Linked DNA regions of Arabidopsis thaliana. The protein of the gene in region 3 interacts with the protein of the main gene of each other region in a pairwise test. Each region holds a gene or a part of one and is shown on either strand. Other genes may lie near its edges. The genes, in order: ATSPO11-1, RHL2, AT1G60460 and SPO11-2.

Evidence for each region.
Region 1: the proteins of AT1G60460 (region 3) and ATSPO11-1 interact in binary tests that used the Arabidopsis thaliana proteins (3 or more experiments, as listed by UniProt).
Region 2: the proteins of AT1G60460 (region 3) and RHL2 interact in binary tests that used the Arabidopsis thaliana proteins (3 or more experiments, as listed by UniProt).
Region 4: the proteins of AT1G60460 (region 3) and SPO11-2 interact in binary tests that used the Arabidopsis thaliana proteins (3 or more experiments, as listed by UniProt).

What each region holds. Positions count from the first base shown.
Region 1 is NC_003074.8:4,230,871-4,236,035, reverse strand, and holds ATSPO11-1 (Spo11/DNA topoisomerase VI, subunit A protein), read left to right. Parts: upstream 1-1,829; 5' UTR 1,830-1,843; coding exon 1,844-1,898; intron 1,899-2,027; coding exon 2,028-2,127; intron 2,128-2,299; coding exon 2,300-2,373; intron 2,374-2,454; coding exon 2,455-2,556; intron 2,557-2,702; coding exon 2,703-2,776; intron 2,777-2,878; coding exon 2,879-2,895; intron 2,896-2,983; coding exon 2,984-3,053; intron 3,054-3,128; coding exon 3,129-3,165; intron 3,166-3,311; coding exon 3,312-3,359; intron 3,360-3,444; coding exon 3,445-3,503; intron 3,504-3,597; coding exon 3,598-3,629; intron 3,630-3,724; coding exon 3,725-3,830; coding exon of another isoform or gene 3,831-3,854; exon of another isoform or gene 3,855-3,976; coding exon 3,977-4,097; intron 4,098-4,193; coding exon 4,194-4,257; intron 4,258-4,346; coding exon 4,347-4,476; 3' UTR 4,477-4,641; downstream 4,642-5,165. Other genes in the region: AT3G13175 (uncharacterized protein), read left to right, coding at 456-776; AT3G13160 (Tetratricopeptide repeat (TPR)-like superfamily protein), read left to right, coding at 4,858-5,165. UniProt on the Arabidopsis thaliana protein: Component of a topoisomerase 6 complex specifically required for meiotic recombination. Together with MTOPVIB, mediates DNA cleavage that forms the double-strand breaks (DSB) that initiate meiotic recombination.
Region 2 is NC_003076.8:640,751-644,918, forward strand, and holds RHL2 (Spo11/DNA topoisomerase VI, subunit A protein), read left to right. Parts: upstream 1-1,803; 5' UTR 1,804-1,907; coding exon 1,908-2,438; intron 2,439-2,620; coding exon 2,621-3,373; 3' UTR 3,374-3,644; downstream 3,645-4,168. Other genes in the region: PRR7 (pseudo-response regulator 7), read right to left, coding at 1-5, 139-300, 402-711; AT5G02830 (Tetratricopeptide repeat (TPR)-like superfamily protein), read right to left, coding at 3,708-4,009. UniProt on the Arabidopsis thaliana protein: Component of the DNA topoisomerase VI involved in chromatin organization and progression of endoreduplication cycles. Relaxes both positive and negative superturns and exhibits a strong decatenase activity. Involved in cell-elongation processes.
Region 3 is NC_003070.9:22,273,510-22,279,511, forward strand, and holds AT1G60460 (uncharacterized protein), read left to right. Parts: upstream 1-1,974; 5' UTR 1,975-2,090; coding exon 2,091-2,129; intron 2,130-2,227; coding exon 2,228-2,336; intron 2,337-2,442; coding exon 2,443-2,526; intron 2,527-2,688; coding exon 2,689-2,715; intron 2,716-2,926; coding exon 2,927-3,035; intron 3,036-3,083; exon of another isoform or gene 3,084-3,132; coding exon 3,133-3,208; intron 3,209-3,632; coding exon 3,633-3,653; intron 3,654-3,739; exon of another isoform or gene 3,740-3,783; coding exon 3,784-3,980; intron 3,981-4,117; coding exon 4,118-4,262; intron 4,263-4,345; coding exon 4,346-4,660; intron 4,661-4,756; coding exon 4,757-5,027; coding exon of another isoform or gene 5,028-5,056; exon of another isoform or gene 5,057-5,276; intron 5,277-5,288; coding exon 5,289-5,377; 3' UTR 5,378-5,498; downstream 5,499-6,002. Other genes in the region: GolS4 (galactinol synthase 4), read right to left, coding at 5,672-5,890, 5,972-6,002.
Region 4 is NC_003070.9:23,742,293-23,747,243, forward strand, and holds SPO11-2 (sporulation 11-2), read right to left. Parts: upstream 3,094-4,951; 5' UTR 3,060-3,093; coding exon 2,976-3,059; intron 2,880-2,975; coding exon 2,796-2,879; intron 2,687-2,795; coding exon 2,557-2,686; intron 2,469-2,556; coding exon 2,331-2,468; intron 2,256-2,330; coding exon 2,167-2,255; intron 2,089-2,166; coding exon 1,960-2,088; intron 1,883-1,959; coding exon 1,788-1,882; intron 1,708-1,787; coding exon 1,645-1,707; coding exon of another isoform or gene 1,641-1,644; intron 1,570-1,640; coding exon 1,493-1,569; intron 1,423-1,492; coding exon 1,295-1,422; intron 1,166-1,294; coding exon 1,031-1,165; 3' UTR 763-1,030; coding exon of another isoform or gene 697-762; 3' UTR 550-696; downstream 1-549. Other genes in the region: AT1G63980 (D111/G-patch domain-containing protein), read left to right, coding at 1-275, 372-494, 697-762. UniProt on the Arabidopsis thaliana protein: Component of a topoisomerase 6 complex specifically required for meiotic recombination. Together with MTOPVIB, mediates DNA cleavage that forms the double-strand breaks (DSB) that initiate meiotic recombination.

The DNA.
Region 1 (5,165 bases), on a different chromosome or scaffold from region 3:
CAAAGTTAAAAATTCAATCATGCAAAACGGACAACATTATAACTGAATTGAAAATATCTCTCTTATCATTATTTTAGCTTTGTACGATTTACTATTTATGTCAGAAAATGTTTCATTCTTTGACTTTTACGACAACTTTACAAAAAAAAAAATGTTCATACAAGTCACAGAACAAAGTAACATAAAAATCTTAAAAATATATTATCATTTTCGTTAGAAGAAAAACAGTATAATTTTCAAACGCGTTTAAAAACAAAATAACTTGAGATTTTGACGTTATCCTTGTCACAGAGAATCTTTCCTATTTCTTTACGTATAGACACTCAGAGGAAAGACAGAGAGAGAGTTAGCATTGTACTATCTCTCTTTTAGATATATCTCTATCTCTCTTCACTCCATCTTTCTCGTGTTAACACAACAGTCACAGACTCACAGATCTTTGTCGGTGATCGGAGATGGAGTTCCGGGAGAAGCTTTTGAAGTTCAAGTTGCAAATCGTGTTTGCCTTTGTTTTATCTCTCCTCACCGTAGCTCTCGTCGCTTATTCTCCCGGTTTCCTCACCGTTCTATCTTACTTCTGGCCACTTTTTCTCTCCACGGCTCTCTTTCTCGCTGCCGTTTTCTTCTTCGCACGCACCTCCGATCTCCCGGTTTCGTCTACCATCATCCCAGGCGAAGGCGCAGGCTTAAAAGTGGCGGCGGAAGGGATTCTTGACTATGTCGTCGGCGGACAACACGAAGACATTCTCTTTGATAGCTTCACCAAACTTGACTAAGTATGAGACCTCTCTGTTCTTAATTCCTTAAGTATTTCCGTTAATTAGTTGTTCCTTTTTTAATACTAGAGAAAATAAAATTACAAAATGTAATATTTTCACGAGGAATAAAATCTTGCTTAAGTTTATGCTTCTATATTACTTATTTTAATCTTATGTTTCTGTTTAGGCGCGAGGCTTCTTTTCTTTAGGTATCTCTCATTAGTTTATACGTTACAAGATTACACATTGCATTGATATATGATTTTACTTTCAAAAAAAATTTAAATGTTGAACGACCTTAAAATCCGTGCGCTTTACTTTTAAATCTTTCCGAATGAAACCCAACCACCGACGCGACAGCTTTTCATTTGTTTACTAATTAAACGGAACAAAGCAATTTAAATGTTATCAGTGTTGTGTTTTAGTTAGAAATACTATAAATAATACAAGATGCCTCTTTTGTTTTAGAACTTTTTTGGTATCATGAATTCGTTATCGGATAAAATACGTTAAAGCTAAGTAGTATATTCTTAGATTATATATAAATTAGGTGAGCAATCTATCATAGAGAAGAAATGATTAAAATAAGTGTATGGCATAATAGATTCGAACATTTTGGTATGTTCCTCACGTGTCCGAGCATAAAGCTTATGAACAAATCTCGACCACTAGAAGTCTAGAACTAATTCTAATCTAGTTTACCATACACATTAATTATTTCAAATTTAGTGCACATGATTATTTTATATTGGCATCACTAAAATGTCTCCAAGTCTGAATAAATCGATTTATATTGGTTTGATTGTTATCATGAATCTTTTTCACAATCACTTTGCCTAGTTTCGGATCGGGCCTAAAAGCCAACGGCCCAACGTGTTTAAAAACACATGCGTTTTTAAAATGACACGTCAGTTACGTATCGGGCCTAAATGCCAATGGCCCAACGTCATGGAAAGTAGGAACTAAACGACACGCATGTTTAAATTCGAAGGTTTTAACGGCAAGCTTTTCGCACCCATCCCTTTTCTTCCCGTCTACAAAAATTCGTCGACCATTGCATTTTTCAGTTTTGAAACTCGAAAGAGATGGAGGGAAAATTCGCTATTTCAGAATCGACTAATTTGCTTCAAAGGATCAAAGGTATCAGAAAATCCCAAAATTTTCCGAATCGTATTGAGTAATTTGTCCTCTAATCTATGTCGAAATTTCTAGTCGATGACTTCGCTGGCTCTTCCGTTGTTCATCACTATGTTTCGGTTTTTTGAGCAGATTTTACTCAATCGGTCGTTGTAGATCTGGCTGAAGGAAGATCTCCAAAAATTTCCATCAATCAATTCAGGAACTATTGCATGAATCCAGAAGCTGATTGGTTTGTCTCTCTTCGATCTCGATTATTCAATTTTGTTTTCACTTTCTTTGATTGAAGAATCAGACGTGTTTGGTCTTTGGTTCGAGACATTTTTGAAGGATTTAAGCACAACGTCAACGAGTATTGAAAACTAAGACCTCATGAATTTACCATTTTATTCTGCTGTCTATAGCTTATGCAGCTCTGATAAACCAAAGGGTCAGGAAATTTTCACTCTTAAGAAGGAACCACAAACCTACAGAATCGGTGAGTCAGGTTTCAGATAATTCTACAAGTACATTAGTGTTATCTTAATATAGCATCACATTGCGGTGTTTTTACTTTCAGATATGTTGCTAAGAGTATTGTTGATAGTCCAACAACTTCTGCAAGAAAATAGACATGCTTCGAAAAGAGATATCTACTACATGCATCCATCAGCTTTCAAAGGTGAATTTGGAAGCAACGTATAATGTTTTAGTTATGTTTTTCTTCTAAACGAATACGTATTGAGATTTTTATACGGATATTAGTTATGCATCCCTCTTTGTTGTGTTCTTGGCCTTCTAGTAACACTGTTTTCGTCTACTTCACAGCACAATCCATTGTGGACCGTGCAATTGGTGATATATGCATTCTTTTTCAGTGTAGTCGGTACAACTTGAATGTGGTTAGTACTTTAATACTTTCACCTTCAATTTTCCTTCTGAAGAGTTATTATAAGCTGCGATTGAAGATGTGATTACTTTTTCATTCATGTGATATTTTGCAGGTTTCTGTTGGAAACGGGTGGGTGCTCTTGATAACGAGTGCAATGCTTCTATCTTGAGGCATGTCCTTATTTTAAGATCCACCTCATTATTCTTTTGTGTTGTAGGTTGGTGATGGGTTGGTTAAAATTTAGGGAAGCTGGAAGGAAATTTGATTGTTTAAACAGCTTGAACACTGTAAGAATTTGAACATAAGATTCACTTTTTATATTGGCATCAGGAAGTATAACTCTGCAAGTGATTTCATTTCAGGCATATCCCGTTCCTGTTCTTGTAGAGGAAGTCGAAGGTACATATATTTGCAATCATTTTAAGTGATGCTTTATGCTCTTTAGAGAAGTCAAATCCTTATCTCAGCTGATATCAGGAAGTATAAGATTCACTATCTATGGTGGCATCAGGAACTATAATTGGATGTCATTTTCCTGCTTGCAGATATTGTTAGCTTAGCTGAGTACATACTGGTTGTGGAAAAAGAAACAGGTAAGAAAGACCTCTTATTTATGTAGTAACTAGGAAGATGGTTTTCTTTCTTCATGACTAAATCGCTTTCATCCATGGTTTATAGTATTCCAGCGTTTAGCAAATGACATGTTTTGCAAGACGAACCGCTGCATTGTTATCACAGTAAGAAATCTGCTTCATTCTTACTGATTTCAGTTTTGACTAGTTTTCATTTCCATTTTATGTTTGACATCAAAGTTACGATTGTTTTTGGCAGGGAAGAGGATATCCAGATGTCTCAACAAGAAGGTACATAACTTAATCCCAGGTTCCTGGAATACTATTTTATCAGACATTATCTTCTATTGATTAATATATCAGCGAATAACACAGATTCTTTCCAGGTTCTTGCGACTCCTGATGGAGAAGTTGCATCTACCTGTGCATTGTCTAGTCGACTGTGATCCATATGGCTTTGAGATCCTAGCCACATACCGTTTTGGCTCCATGGTTAGATTCTGTTACAAAATATAGATGACTGAACTCGGAAAATTTCACCGCTTGCATTGTTTTTGTTGATAGTGATAATGTGATATGGCACTGACCCATTTCATTTTGAACCATTTTCCTTATGTCACTTGTTTTCTTTCTGTAAGCAAATGGCCTATGATATTGAATCATTACGAGCACCAGATATGAAATGGTTGGGAGCTTTTCCTTCAGACTCTGAGGTATATAGTGTTCCCAAACAGTGTCTTTTGCCACTGACAGAAGAAGGTAAGAGATCATTAAACACCTTATCGCCTTAAATCTTTAGATTTTCCTATTTTTCACTGCTTCCTTTTTTGAGATTGTAACAACTTCCCCGGACAGATAAGAAAAGAACTGAAGCAATGTTGCTTAGATGCTACCTGAAGCGTGAAATGCCACAATGGAGGTATGAAAAACTTCCCTGACTTTTTTATATTTACATTTCAACCAAATGACAAAAACTAGTCTTGATCAAAACGATTTTGGTCGTCTAAGGTTGGAACTTGAAACGATGTTGAAAAGAGGGGTCAAGTTTGAGATCGAAGCACTCTCAGTTCACTCACTGTCCTTTTTGTCAGAGGTATATATTCCTTCTAAGATTCGTCGTGAAGTAAGCTCTCCTTGAGCTTCATACGAGATAACTAGTCTCCAACTCAAGGTAATGCTCATTGTTTTTTTTATGACTCTTTCTAAGCTTTTTAGTGCAAACCAAATGCATTGGTAGAATGGACAAATGAACATAGTTTTAATGGAAAAATCATAAATATACAGATTATAAAAAATAATTCTCAGTTTTTAATTTTTAATAATACAAAGTACATTCACTAATGACTAATGAGTAATAAGTTTGAAATTTTGAATAATACAAAAGTAATTTAGGGTTCATTTGCTTTATATTGTTACCAAACCTAATTTGAAGTATTAAAGCCGTTCCCCTGACTAAAAACCTTTGAACACTCCGATCCAAAAAAAAGAAGAGAAAAACCTTTGCATACAGCTAAAAACGATGTCGTCTCTCTCTCGCTTTCTCCTTCGTGGCAACTTCAGCTTCAGCACCCACACGAATCGCCGCTTCTTCTCCGCCGTTACCGCTGCTGCAGCCACACCCTCGCCACCCAAACCGTCCCTCATCACCCTCGTAAATGACGAACGCGACCCCAAATTCATCACGGAGAAGTTCAAGAAAGCCTGCCAAGCAGAGTGGTTCCGGAAGAATATAGCTGTCTATGAGAGAACCGTTCGCCGTCTCGCCGCAGCCAAGAAGTTTGAGTGGGTCGAGGAGATCCTGGAGGAGCAGAACAAGTATCCAAACAT
Region 2 (4,168 bases), on a different chromosome or scaffold from region 3:
CATCACTGCAACACAAATCTCACAGGGGAATGTAGTTAAAAGCATCTACTTTCCAACATACGCTAGAGAAGACTCAACAAATCGTGTAACTTCAAAAGAAAGAGCTCAATGTAAAACGACCAAGGAAAAAGAACTCACTGATGACAGGGATGTTCCGACGAGATTTGTGGTTCAAAATCTTGCACAAGAGACCGATACCAGATAAGTAAGGCATGATCACCTCTGTTAGCACAATATCAATATGATTGTTTAGATCTTCTAACACCTTCCAAGCTTGTATCCCATTTGACGCCTCAACAACTGCCATGACAGAGTTAATAATAATCAATCAACAAACAGAACCGAAACGGGTACATATATGCGCTATAGATTAAAGTTGGGCCATAGGCTTCAAAACTGACCTTCATAGCTACAATTGCGAAGAAGTGCAGTAACGATATAACGAGTGCAGTCGTCATTTTCGACAAGCAGAACTCTAATGGTTCTCACATGAAGAAACCTTTCCCAACAGACAGTTGCCGCTGTTTGTTGCGACAATGGAATTTGCAGTCCACCTGAACTCCCATTTCTCACATCCATAGTAATTCCATTAGTTTTCTCTTCTTCACTATGCTTCTCTGTCCGACTCTCAACCCTATCGAATTTCGTCTCTCCGGTCTTTCGATCAGTGATTGGGTAACGTGAACCCTCCCCCTCCTCATTAGCATTCATCACACCAACTCTGCTTCGCTGAATTCAAATGATCAAAATATCAAAACACAGCCATAAACCCTAATTTCGATTATTGCAATAGCTAGAGGAGTTAGAATCGTACAATATCTCAGATTAACAGAAAAAAGAGTTGAAGAACGACGAATTCTCAAAAAACCAACTAATCAAGTAACTTTTTGAAGAATCATCAAAAAATCGAATCTAGACAAATTACATCAAATAAAAATCCAACCATACAAAAGCATCTAAATTCCAAGAGAGTACTGATCTTACAATAATCAAATACTAGAACGAAGAATCGAGCTCCAGAAGTTGCATCAATCACCAGAAAAATGGATCTAGCACAATCAGCTAACGGTTGGGAAATAGAAACAAGGAATTCAAATCGATAAACAGAATTAAGAATCGAAGCTTCTTAGAACTTTAGAAGGAAGATAAACACAGTGAACAATTTTTGAGATTATGAGGTTTTTCTGTCTCCCAGAGAGTGGAAATCGGAGACGACCATAAGCCACCGATTTTTATTTTTCCGGAGATAGATAGATATTAGAAAGATTTGTCTCGGGCCAACAAAAAAAAAAAGGAAATTAAAAAATCGTAATATCTGACATGGACAAAACTAGAGGTCCCGAACGTTCGAGAAGTTCCACGTCAGAGCGGATATTTCCACATCATATATTGGCGAGGATTAGTGACGTGGATGGTATATCAAAAACAGTCGTTCAGGAGGCTAGTGGCAGATTATTAAGATCTTTTTGAACTGACACGTGTAATGGTGGGTAAGGAAAACGTCAAGTGGTAAACTCATCTGGACCGTTGAATAGATTTTGGCGGAAGAGACTAGCGTTTAAAGATTTTATAGATGTAGTTAATATTGGGCTTACCATATGGGCCATTCAAAAAGATTTTAACCCAATAAAAAATATTCAAAAAACTATCGTCGACAGCAGGGTTCGAACCTGCGCGGGCGAAGCCCAATAGATTTCAAGTCTATCTCCTTAACCACTCGGACATATCGACATCTCGTTAAAAGCACAATTAATTAACTTAATAAATGCGTTTCTAAGTCTACCCCTTTAGTTTACCCTAGAAATAACATTCACGAGATACGTTGACCTAAAGGGTAAATTTTCCCGCCATTGTTAGTACCAGAACTCTCTGGGCCGCCGCGTCTCCGTCGTCGTGGCTATCTACAGATGGCGGATAAGAAGAAGCGAAAGCGATCAAAAGATGACGAGGCGGAGGAACTTCCTTTCAAAAGCATTCTGGAATCAGACGACGTTATCACGGAGCTTCTCAAATCGTATATTTCCTCTTCTATCAAAGCCGCCGCCGGAGCCGGCGGTGCCTCCTCCTCTTCATCGAAACCTCTAACCCTAGCTGACCTCTCTCTATCATCTTCCTGTCGTGAAGTCGCAGATCTCTCACTCTCCTCCGTGCAGACAGAGATAGAGACAGTCATCGTCCAGATCGCCCGTTCTATTCTCGCCGGTGATGGCTTCTCCTTCAGTGTTCCTTCACGCGCCGCCTCGAATCAGCTGTATGTTCCTGAGCTCGACCGTATAGTGCTAAAAGACAAATCTACCCTCCGTCCATTTGCCTCCGTTTCTTCTGTCAGGAAAACCACCATCACCACTCGTATCCTCGCCCTTATCCACCAACTCTGCCTCAGGAACATTCACGTTACTAAGCGTGATCTCTTCTACACCGACGTTAAGCTTTTCCAGGTAGGTTCTTCTTGCTTTCAATTTTACTTGAGATGATACTTTCTTCCCATTAAATAGAGAATGATAGTCACTGTTTTAGATCCAGCTCTTGTAAACCTGAATCGAAAGTTCTAGCATTGATTCTTTGTAGTTTCGATTTTGGAAGGTTTTTGAACCAATTCGCAACCTTACTGAATTTTCAGGACCAGACACAGAGTGATGCTGTGTTGGATGATGTCTCATGTATGCTCGGTTGCACAAGGTCAAGTCTCAATGTCATTGCAGCAGAGAAAGGTGTGGTGGTGGGAAGGCTTATATTCAGTGACAATGGAGACATGATAGATTGCACAAAGATGGGAATGGGTGGGAAAGCCATTCCACCAAACATTGACCGGGTTGGAGATATGCAGAGTGATGCTATGTTCATACTCTTAGTTGAAAAAGATGCAGCTTATATGAGGTTAGCTGAAGACAGATTCTATAACCGGTTCCCTTGTATCATCGTGACTGCAAAAGGCCAGCCTGATGTAGCTACAAGGCTCTTCTTGAGGAAAATGAAAATGGAGCTTAAGCTTCCGGTACTTGCCTTGGTGGATAGTGATCCTTACGGATTGAAGATCTTGTCGGTGTATGGATGTGGGTCGAAGAACATGTCATATGATAGTGCAAACTTGACTACGCCTGATATTAAGTGGCTTGGAATTAGGCCGAGTGATTTGGACAAGTATAAGATACCTGAACAGTGTAGGTTGCCGATGACTGAGCAGGATATTAAGACCGGGAAGGATATGCTAGAGGAGGATTTCGTGAAGAAAAATCCCGGGTGGGTCGAGGAACTTAACCTGATGGTGAAAACGAAGCAAAAGGCTGAGATTCAGGCGTTGAGCTCTTTTGGTTTCCAGTATTTATCGGAAGTTTACTTGCCCCTGAAACTGCAGCAGCAGGATTGGCTCTGATAATCAGGTTTCTTCCTGATCAATTAGATAGACCAACAAGTGTACTCTACAAATTTCGAATTTTTGATAATGCAATTGCCTGTTTCTTAGCATGTGAATTATTATTGCAAAGATCGAAATTTGGTTTTAAATTTATGGTTGAATCTACACAGAACTGGAAAGATAGCTGTCAGATGATTATTTAGAAGACAACTCTTTTGTTTATTTAGAAGATTGTATACAATATGATGGGCATTGAGATGATATGCAATCTTTCCCCATTCTTTTCTGCATATGGTTTGAATTAGCATAAAATACAATGATGACTGATTAGTAATGTAACAGTCGGAGGCAGCTACTTTCTGCGCTGCAACCACTGATACAGAGACGCCTTTGTAACCATCAACCTCTCCAGAATCGCAGGTCTCCTCGTTGAGGATATACTAACAAATGACTTAGTGTTCTCTTGGTCTGCATCATCTACACAGTGTGCATCCTGTATGATATTTCTTTGTCCAGCAGGAAGAACCACAAGAGACAATTCATCTCGTAGAAGCTTCACTAGCGCTTCTTGCACAGTAATCTCTTGCTTTCCTGAAACGGTATTTGCTTCATCGGTTCCTATGATAATCAACACATCATCTATTACAACGTCACCTGCAAAGGAGATTCAGTTAGTTACAAGTGTTTTTTAGTCTCTACTGGCATAAAATTCAACAACATTTGATTTTTTTGTCCTAACTTAAGCTGCATGTATGCTGTTCCCGTTTGAAATGTTTACCGAGTCAAAAAGTTACTACATGAGAGAGAGAATGT
Region 3 (6,002 bases):
TTTCTTATGCATTATATACACTTACATATTTTTTTATTAGAACTCGAATGCATTAAACATAATTCATATTATAACCCAAATTGTGACATGTTAGAGCACCAATGGACTATGAGTTTATATATAATACCGGTGTTGTTGAAAGGAAAGGAACCCTTCTTTGTGTTTGTCTTAATCGTGGGATGATGTAATTACGAGATTTTGTTTTTTATCTCGGTGAGAAGGACTTTTAATTATACTAAGTGGTACTTGCGTTCCATGAAGCGTTGGACTAAATATTATAAGAATCACACCGTGTTGAAAATCACTTTTGTAGATTTAACAGTTCTGTTTTTAAAAACGATTTAAACGAGACAGATAATTTATTAACTATGTGATATGATTGTTTTTTTTTCTAGTTTCCAATAATTATTTTACAAAATATGAGTATTATTTTTCGAAAACATCATACCGGTGTTCCAAAACTTCCACGCGTCTGTTTTTTTTATTAGCATGAGATTCATCCGTCTATTTAATTTACTTAACTCTTCAACAACGGACCAACCAAGGCATGTTTCACAAAAAATAGTGATAAATGTTTATAACCTAGTCAATGATCAATAAGGTATCGGTATTTTATAAAAGTAAAATGATACAAATAAAAATTACAAACACATGATAAATATTTTATAGGAAATTTAAAGATTACAGTTTAACCAGTACCGGTCGTTATGAATAGGTCATCATCGTATATAAAAATAAAATACTAGGCTCTTAGCTAGCTTAAGTATTTAAAGTTATATCTATACCTAAATGAATTTGTAATCTATTTTCCTATTCATAGATTTACAAGTCGAATACAAGTCGTCCGAGTTTATTGGACTAGCGTACTCGTATATTTTTCTATTACACGTTCTTCTGAACTTCCATACGACCATGTTCTATACAAAATAAACAAAGTTAGAGCATTTGAACAAACATACATATAAAAACACATTTCCAAATTCTCGATATTAATTATTTAACAATATTAAGACTTTGACTGGTAAGAAAATAACAACTCCGTCAAATAAAAATGGAGAAAATAACAACTAAAACCTTACTAGTGAAGCTGTATATAAAGAAATTGGGAAAAAGTCACGAGGACATTTTGTGTGAATGAATTAGAACTCATTTCTAAGACTTCCTCGATCTCATACCTGGCTGAAAACTAGAAGTCAGCAAACGACGAAGACAAAAGAATAGTGTGGCGCACGAATGGAAAGGCTTAGCGTCTTTTTAATAATGATCATGACTTCCACAACCTCCTTTCTGTAACACATATACTTTGTTAGTGAACCAATGAGAAATTTTCAGTAAGTCGTGAATATTTTCCAGTAAGCCCATTTATGGTTTCTACAGTTATTATATGGTTGATTGATTGGTCTGATTGATCGGGGTTCCATATTATTTGTTTATGCTACTATAAGATTAGCTGCTTACTGCTGTAAGAAAAAAGAAAAGGATTATCTATTTTAGTATTTACCTCTTCAATATTTCTTCATTAGTTTTTTAATTGGAATAGACCAACAAGAATTTAGATTCATGAAAATGTACTTCAAAATATGATTTCTCTATATTAGTTAGATTTTCATTGGCTATATATTTGACAGCGGAATGCCATCAGTTTATGGCCTAGCTAGTAATTCATTATGGGGTTCAAAACAAAATACCAAACTATTTCCTCCATATTTTTGTTTCTTGGCTTTTTTTTCTTCTCCATTTATGAAAATATACTATATCAAATTACTATAAAAAAAATTCAGTAAATAATTCATTATATAACTTTTAAGACTACAATTAAAGTGTTAAACAGAAATCTAAATTGATTTAGTCAGATTTGAGCTTACATTAAATAATTATTTCTAAGAAATATGTCTAATAAAAAAATAGTAATTTTATATCAAAATAATTATGAATCATATTTTGCCCAAAATCATTTTTCTAGTGGATATCCTTGTATCTATTTTGACACTCACTGGACTACTTGTAGAAGAGTGACACAGTGCTTGAGGATTTGGAATTCAAAATTTTAGCTATACGCGGGACAATTTCGAAAGCGGAGAATCTCTGCCATGGAAAACAATGCTCCGGTTCCGAAGCTTCTTCTACAAGTAAGTCACCGATCATCTTCACCACTCTCTGATCGATCTTTCTCCGTTTTTCATAGATTTTTCTATTTTTTCTGTTCTGAGAAATTCAAATTCTGTAGTTAATCTCATCTGCTTTCCAAAGATGCCGTTTAGCAGAAGATCTCTGTAGATTATCAGTTCTTCTTGACCAATCCACCGAAAGAGATCCTCCGATTACTTGTATTTCGAGTAATTTCACTCTCTTTTGTTTTTGATTCTGCGTCGCCCTCGATGAAAATCGAATCTGTCTTCGCTAAATTGGTCACATTATCTGTCTATTTGATGCTGTGTATAGTTGCCGATACGGGAATTGGATGCAATTTGGAGGAATTTCAGAATTTGAGGTGCCCAAGAGAATTCAATGGAGCGAAGATTTGGGGTCAGTTACATTACTAGCATCTTCAGTATTCGATTATTGAATGTTAACTATGAAATTTTAGTTTTATTTAGAATTGTACAAATTGAGCTGAATTTGTTCGCTTCTCTGTTATCTTTGTAATACGTTAATGCGATTCTGACTGTGGATAATGATGTGTTGCAGATGGGTTACTCTCCGTCAAAACGACTTGTAAGTTTTGCTATATTGACCTCAAATCTTGCTTATGGTTTTAAATGCTTTAGCCTTTTTCCTGGTTTTGCTTGTAAGTCCAATGGAGAAACATATCTTGTTTTCCTCTCTGGGTTATATGATTGATTGTTAGTTGTCTACATTAAGTTCGAGTCACCGAAACTAAGTAACTTGTTATTGTTCTTCCTCCACTGTGGTGATGGAAGTGCAGGCTTTACTGACGATGAGGTATACTATTATCATATAAATCTGGATGAGTATATAGCGAACAAAAGACTGAAAAGACAACCTTCTCAGGCTAAGAATGGTGCAAAGTTTAGGTGTGCAAGTTCCTCAATTTATATCTTATTTCACTGATTTCTAAGCCACTGTGAGTGCCCTTGACTTGATTATATATTCGGATTGTGTTGTTTTCAGTGGGACTGAAGTATCCCTGAGTGTTTTTGGAAGTATGGATGTTCTCGTGGCACCGATAATTGGCTTCTTTCAAAAGGTCTTCCCTTCTCTTCTGCAACCTTGTTGCTCTTGTAACTACTTATTTCAATTGGATTCAAGTACAGAACACAACGTTACAAAAACACTGCTAACCACTTGTTATAGAACCAAGATAAAGAGCCAAAATATTACATCTTTAAGGGAAGAAGAACCGTACTGAATTCCAATGGAATGAAAGTTTATGTTTGAAGGTCGCTCATTAGTTAACCAGTGTTTAAGCTACTGCTTTAATTTGGTCAAGCAATGAATCTGTATCATGAATAACCGAAGCTTGTTTAGTGGTTTATATTTAGCATATCTTTTAAATTGGTATTGTTGGCCTTCTGGCCCTATCATTTGAGTGTAGTCAATTTTGTCAACTTAGTTCCCTCATGATTGCTTAAGTTACACTGTAATGATATTTGTATCCTGTTTTCTTGCAGATCATTGTTCTACAGATACTTGTAAGTTCAAGTGACTCCCTTTGGTGATTTACAATTTTGTCTAGAAAATTGGTTTCCCTATACATGGTAATTTAGAAAGAGAACCAAACAAATCATGGAATTACAAAGCTGATTCTTTTCTTCCTCTCAGAATGTCACATTGGATCTGATGGTTAAACAAGGGACTTCTCCTGGTAATCAAACTCAATACGTCTTTGCAGTGAACGCTGACAAAACTCCATGCTTTACTGCCTCCAATCTTGAACGGTTGAAGTCTGGTCTTGAGGACTATGTTTTAAGGCATGCTAACTGTTTGGATACGATGTGTGACTATTGCTTCTCTGATAGGTATATAAAATGTAACACCATTCTTGTTTCTGGTACTCTTACGACTTAACTTACTTCGGCTTATATAAAATGTAACACCATTCTTGTTTCCAGTTCCACTAGTTAAGTCTGACAAATCTTGGTATATTTACTTTCAGAGAGCATCTAAAAGTTGGAAGTGGAACAGTATGCCAGGAAGACAAACATAAGAGAGTTGGAGGGACGATGGAAGTGGTTATTGTGATAAGTGACTTGCTAGAGTCAACTCAGCATTGCAGCAGATCATGCAACGGCAAAACAGAGGTTTGTTAAACTCACTCTAATACAAAAGCTCATATTGAGATGTGATGTATGATTGGCTGATCTTAACTAATGGATTTCCCCAGGTTCTATACTTTGACAATTTCTTACCTTCCCCTGTTCCACATTTGGCATTGAGCGCATTGAAAAAGATTGACTGGAAAAAATATGGTTTGATCCTGGCGAATGTGAATGATCAAGACGGACATGTGTTTCTCGAGTGGGACAATTTCCCTTCATATGTTCAAATACAAATCGCCCTCCATTGGTATCACAATCAATATCCAACAAGGCAGAAGAATGGGCCTGGTATAAGTCTTCTGAAGAAGGGAATAAAAAATGCTTTGGACAATTTGAAGGCTAAACATGAGGGTTTTCTTCTAAGCTCACATTCTCGTAAGGTGCTCTCTCGGTTATTCTCCTTTGTTGTTTGTGTCAATCTCTTAAATTTATACAGGTTTGACCAAGATTTTGTTGTTGTTGTTTATCTTTCTTAGATTTGCAGCTATGTCCCTGACCTTGCAAGATCAATAGCAGGCCTAATATTCTCCTCTACTGACTTAGACTTCCAAGGAGATTGCCTATCTGTTCTTGGATTTCAGACACAAGAAGTTGAGCGTGACACAGTCGAGAACTATATCCAGAGAAAGATCGTGACGGTTATAGGAATGAATGAGAGGAAACCCCAGAAAGACCAAGAAGCTGCTCCTTTTCTGTTTTTTGATGGCGAGTCTGAGACGTCGTTCTTTGAAGATGAGGAAGTAGAAGGTGAGTATTACTCTAGCTCCCTGGAATGATACATCTGCTTCTGACAAGTAGATAGTAAAATTGTGAAAATATATGTTACGCATTTGCATATGTTATTGCTTACAAATTCTCATCGTTTTGGATAGACTTGTTTATAAAAGCCTTACATGATCAAATCTGTAAGAATCTGCAAGTTTGTTGTGTTCTTGAGCTAGTTTGTCCAAAGCCAGTAACACAATTTTGCATCACTTACTTCTCTATTTGTTTTTCAATCACATTCAGATCGAGAAAATTCCACGCATGAATATGATGCTACAGCAACTAAAGCTTATACACAGTTCAAATGTCTGGCGACTATGCTGCAGGAATAGTCAATAGGGCACTTTCTGATTCTAGGCTTAACATTAGTAGTATATTTGTTCTGTACAGCTTCACAGTGATATGTTTCTGATCCGTACATAAATATAGCAATACAAACACTTCATTTCCTTAGTACTTTAACACTTACACACTTTAGCAATACTATTTGAAAACCTCTCGGGTCGAGAAAAAACTCACCAAGGTTTCTATTTTCTGGTTAATACTATTTCAAACTATGTATACATATATCAAAAGAAAACAGATAGAGGAACACACCAAGTCTTGTGACTTCCCTGCAAGATATCTCAAGCAGCAGAAGGAGCAGGAAAGTAGGTCATTTCTGGTTCAAGAACGGAAGCTAGGATGCTTGATTTTGTAACGGTTTCTTCCGCATCTGCAGGGATTTTCGATTTGAAATCGAGAGATTCATCATTATAGACATCCCACCATTTATCAACTAACATCTTGATGTCTTCTCTGTCCATGTTAGCTTCTTCTCCTGTGTATCTCCATGGCTTGGATCCCTATCAACAGAAAAAAGGAATCAAATTTCAGCAACAAGCTTAAGGGGCTCAGGGTTTCAAAGCAAAGACAGAACTACTTACAGCTGCACAGTAGTGAACAACTTTGACTTTC
Region 4 (4,951 bases), 1.5 Mb from region 3:
GAAAACAAGGACTGGGTATCAAAGACCGGCCAAAGAAAATAGCTGGTGTTCGTTACGAAGGGAAGAAAACCTCTTTTGATAACAGTGATGATGATGATGATGATGATGATGATGATGACGAAGAAGACGAAGAGGAAGATGAAGACGAGAGTGAAGCAGATGATGATGACAAGGACTCTGTAATTGAAAGTTCTCTTCCCGCGAAAAGGAAGCACGATGAAATCATTGAACCCAAAATCAAGTTAAAGAACCTGTGCAAGCAGATTGTTAAAAAGGTTCGTTGTCAATTTATTTTGAACTGTCATTGTATTCTTCTAAAACATCCCACCACTCATATCGACTTATATGTATATGTGCAAAAACATTCTTAGGATGCTGGTAAAGGTGGATTCATGAAGCTGAAACAGCTAAAATCTCTGATCGATGAACAAGCACCATCAGTTCTTTCAGAGTTTTCTTCAAGAAAAGATGCTATTGCTTACTTGAAACTTAAGGTAATGCAATCTTAGCTAATCTTTATGCCAAATCTTCGTATAGAATCTACATTAAGCGTATGAAATTCATTATATTTGAGATTAAAGAAGTGTGATAGTGAAGTTAGTAAACATAATCATTTTAAAGTGGGATTCTCATATTCTACACAAAGTTCCAAAGTTTGTCATTCTTACTGATATTGTTCTAACGTCCTTGTTGCAGCTGGAGCGAAGTGGCAAGTTTGTTGTGGAGGGAAAGAAGATTAGTCTTGTATCAAGCAAGAAGTGAGCGAGAATTTTTGGTTGGAATTATCATTATACCTGCATAGGAAAGTGGAGATTAGGACAAGTTTTGTTACTAAATCATCACAATGCCATATGTAAACAAAGATCATACTTCAGTTTGGAAAATTTTGATTTGATTGTAATCTATTTTTACATTCTATTAGAGTTTGCATAAAACTTCACCCTAATAAGTTACTCTCTTATATTTGGAACCAATATAAAGCAAACGCATCTTTATTGGTGGAAGACCTTACATGTTGGTGTTTTAAGTGTTATATGTATTTGCCTTGCACGATCTTGGTAGCTATATATTTACCGAGATAATTATAACCATGACAATAGAGAGCTTCAATTTCCGCTCTTTTACCAGTTTGAACCATCAGTGACAACTCCTCTATGTAGTTTTCCTGGTCAGAAGCAAATGTCAAAATCAATTAGGGTATAAATGATAGATTATAGATTCGAATCTTAGAATTGCTTCGGCTTGACCATTACATCTGATCTCTGCTTATAATGTATAATGTATAGTTGGTTACCTGCAATATTTTGGAGGACAATAAGCTCTTAGCAATCTGTGAATCTTTTGGCTTTAAGGGAACCAAAGACTCTTCTGGTATCAGATTCAGATCATCTCCTCGGAGACCAATCCACTTCACATTGCAAGCTAAAGAGGATGCAGAAATTATCATTGTAGAGACTTGGAGATTATTTGGTGCAAACAGCTAAGTCTTTACCGTATCTGTATGCTTCAAGTCCCATCCCTATGCTTCCAAACTTGAAGGTGCATAGTATAGCTAACCCAGCTGGATTCCTGACCTCTCATTTATGAACATATGAGCACTAAAGTTTTATGTTAACAAAGAGGAAGATGTTTATTTATGCTTACCAATCAACTAGAACAAGAATTGGCAGATCAGGAAAAGTTGTGCTCATCCGGTGGAGGAAAAACCTAAAAGATTTAACTTCCAAGCTACTTAATACCACTGACTACATTGCAATATGGTTTTGTAACTGAGTTGAAGAATTGACCTTGTGGCAATATCCGGATACCCTTTCGCTGTGATGAACACGCAAGGAATGTGATTGAACACACGATCTTCCACGAGCCGATGAAAGATCGCATGCTAAAAACAGATTCTAGGAGTGAGTTACAGACAATTACGACATCTCTCATATGTGCTTGATTACATCAAGAAGCTACCTTTTCCACAATAATGATATAACGAGCATCAGTTCTCATGATGGTATTGTCTAGCAAATTCAAGTCTCCAGTTATAGCAAAACCTGAAGAACCACAGGCCGAACAATCTACAGCTTCCTTACCTGGTTCCTGAGTGTAAAGTAAAGAAATGGTCAGAGATCACAATGTTAGCTACATAAGGATTGCTAGAAGCAAGTAATAACTCACTTGTAGAAATAACCTTCCAGCAACAAGGCCTCTGCTTGAAGCCATAATACCAAGACTGTATCTACTACAACGTAGAAGTGCTACCACATCTGCTAAACCAAAGCACGACCAAAAAATCAGCTCAAAAACTCTTTAATCCAAATGCAATTAAGCTTTAGATTGACCTTGGACACTTCTGTTAACTTCAATCTGAGATGAAAAGTAATCAGGTGAATCACAAAGCAACTTATAGAAGAGCTCTCTTTGTGTGACTCGTTTCTCTTGAAGCAGAATCTGAAAGCATATTTCCATAACTTTCCACACTGTTTCAATAAAATCACAACCATTTTCTCATACCATTCTAATCAAAGATTTGGGTGAAGATCACAGAGAGAGACATTGAGCAATTACCACGAACAAAAGCTTTAGCTGTTTTAGCATTCGTCAATGAACTCTTAGTAAACGAAGTAGAGAGGAATATATATGAAACATCTGTGAGTATCCCTTTGTTTATACAACTATTGCTTCTCTTCCTATTGATCTGTTCAAACGATACATTTCAATTGTCTTCAAAAACCCAGAAAATCACGAATTCGAGAAAGCTATAACGCGATCTAAGAAACGGACTTAAGCACGAGATTAAGTAGTACCAGAGAGAGATCGGAGATAGCTGGATCTGGGGAGTTCAAAATTCGGAGGAGATTGAGAACAGAAACTTCGATTCTAGCACGAGCCTGTAACAACGAGCTTCGATTTCAGTCAGAACTACGAGATTCGACAGTGAAGAAGACTAGTGATTCGATAAATTCAAAATTGGAAGCGAAACTTACTTCGTGAGGAAGAAGAATGTCAGCGTAAGAGAGGTGTTGATCGGAGAAGAACTTCATCGATGATAGTCCTGAACTTTCCTCCATTTTGAGATTTTTTTTCCGATTCCGCTTTTTTGAAATTTTGATTTGAATTTGATTGAGAGAGACAGAGAGGCGCGCGTCAAGTTTCGGGATTTGAGATTTGCACTGTCTTCCGTTTTGTTTATAAGAAACCGGCATGCAGTTCATGATTTTTTTTCTCATGTGGAACTAATTGTGTCATATATTTTATTTTATTTTTTAATTTTATATATAAGCCAAAAATTTAGCCTAACTACAAGCCAAAATTGTAATTGTTTTGCGGTTGTATAGTTTTAAGCTATCAATAACTATATTTCAATGTGGTAATCAATTGATTTTTGTAGATATTTAATTTACACAATAAGTTGAATCGGAAAGTTCAATTTTATATACTCTCTTTGTTTTTTATAAGTGATGTTCTAAGCTTTTATTTTTGTTTTTAAATATATGATATTTTAAAATTTTAATGCAAAATTTATTATATTTTCATTGGTTTTGATGATTTTTATTCCACAGATAATTTTTCTATTGGTTTATTAAATAATAAATGATATTTTAGTTTAAAGTAAACAAAAATTAAATAATTTATTAAGTGTGTATTCTCTTAAAACATCAACTAAATAAAAATTATAAAAGAAAAAATATATTTTAAGAAAATGGATCCACTAACATTTGATTTACATTTGTACATAATTTTATGGTTTATGAGAATGAGAAGCTTCCACGTGCATGCATGAGTTTGCATAGGTTAATTACATTTGGATGTATAATTATTCGAGCGGTCAAAGAGATTCTTAACAACCACAACCACAATAATTTGCTTAAGTCCATTTATCCGTATTTAATGCCCAACATTTTACGCGACTTCATGATTTCTATAAGTTTCATTATCGGTAGTATAACTTAGTAGGGGATGTATGGTTGGACGAACGAAATTTCAAAATGAAACTTTGCGAAAACGAAATGAAGGGGGATGCGAAATTCATAAAAATATCCCACTTTAATCATATAAATGTCTCATACTTAGAGTTAAAAGATCAATGATATGTTCAAATTAACCACTATATATAGTCCATATTACGTGGTGGAAATATCATTGGACAATGGAACAAATACGCAGAATTCTTATGGTATCGAGAAAAAAAAATCTTATCGTATTAATTCGTTATATAAATTATTTTTTTTTATATTTTTTTTTGACAAAATGTGAATATTATTAATCCATTATTGTGCATATAAATATCTATAAACAACGACAAGGATGATATAAATTTAGTGATCTAAAACAATCTCTAAATTTTAGCTAGTTCTCAAACCGACCAGACGTGCATTTCAGGCTCACGAGTGTGTGTATGGAGTTGGTACACTATATTTAACCACACGTTTGAAATGCAAATAAAAGCAAATTAATTACTACTTGTTACATGTAAATTTATAAGCAAGTTAAGCCTTTACCGAACATTCCCTTTGTCATGGGAAAACATCAACAAGAACTTTGACCATAAATATAACTAGATTTTGATCGGTTTATATGAAACATGTGAGTAGTTTTTCCACATGAAGTTAAAACAATCGTTACAATTTACATATTCTAAAAACATCAATACATATTACGAATTGGTGCCGAAATATATAAATTTAAATAAGCTAATCAATTTATTCTACAAACTATTCTCAAAATGTATAAGACCACTCAATATATATACCATCGATGTCAATTTTTGTTTTTTTAAAGATTAATATTTACTATTTAGATTTCAAAATATGGGTTGAAGTACATTTGACATGTACATGCATTTTTGGATATATATTAATATATGATTCTATATAATATATAGATCCAAAAACGTTGTAAAGAGATATATAGCTAGGAAAAGGAGGAAAGACTTAGGCAGTTGAACAGAAAAGTTAGGTGA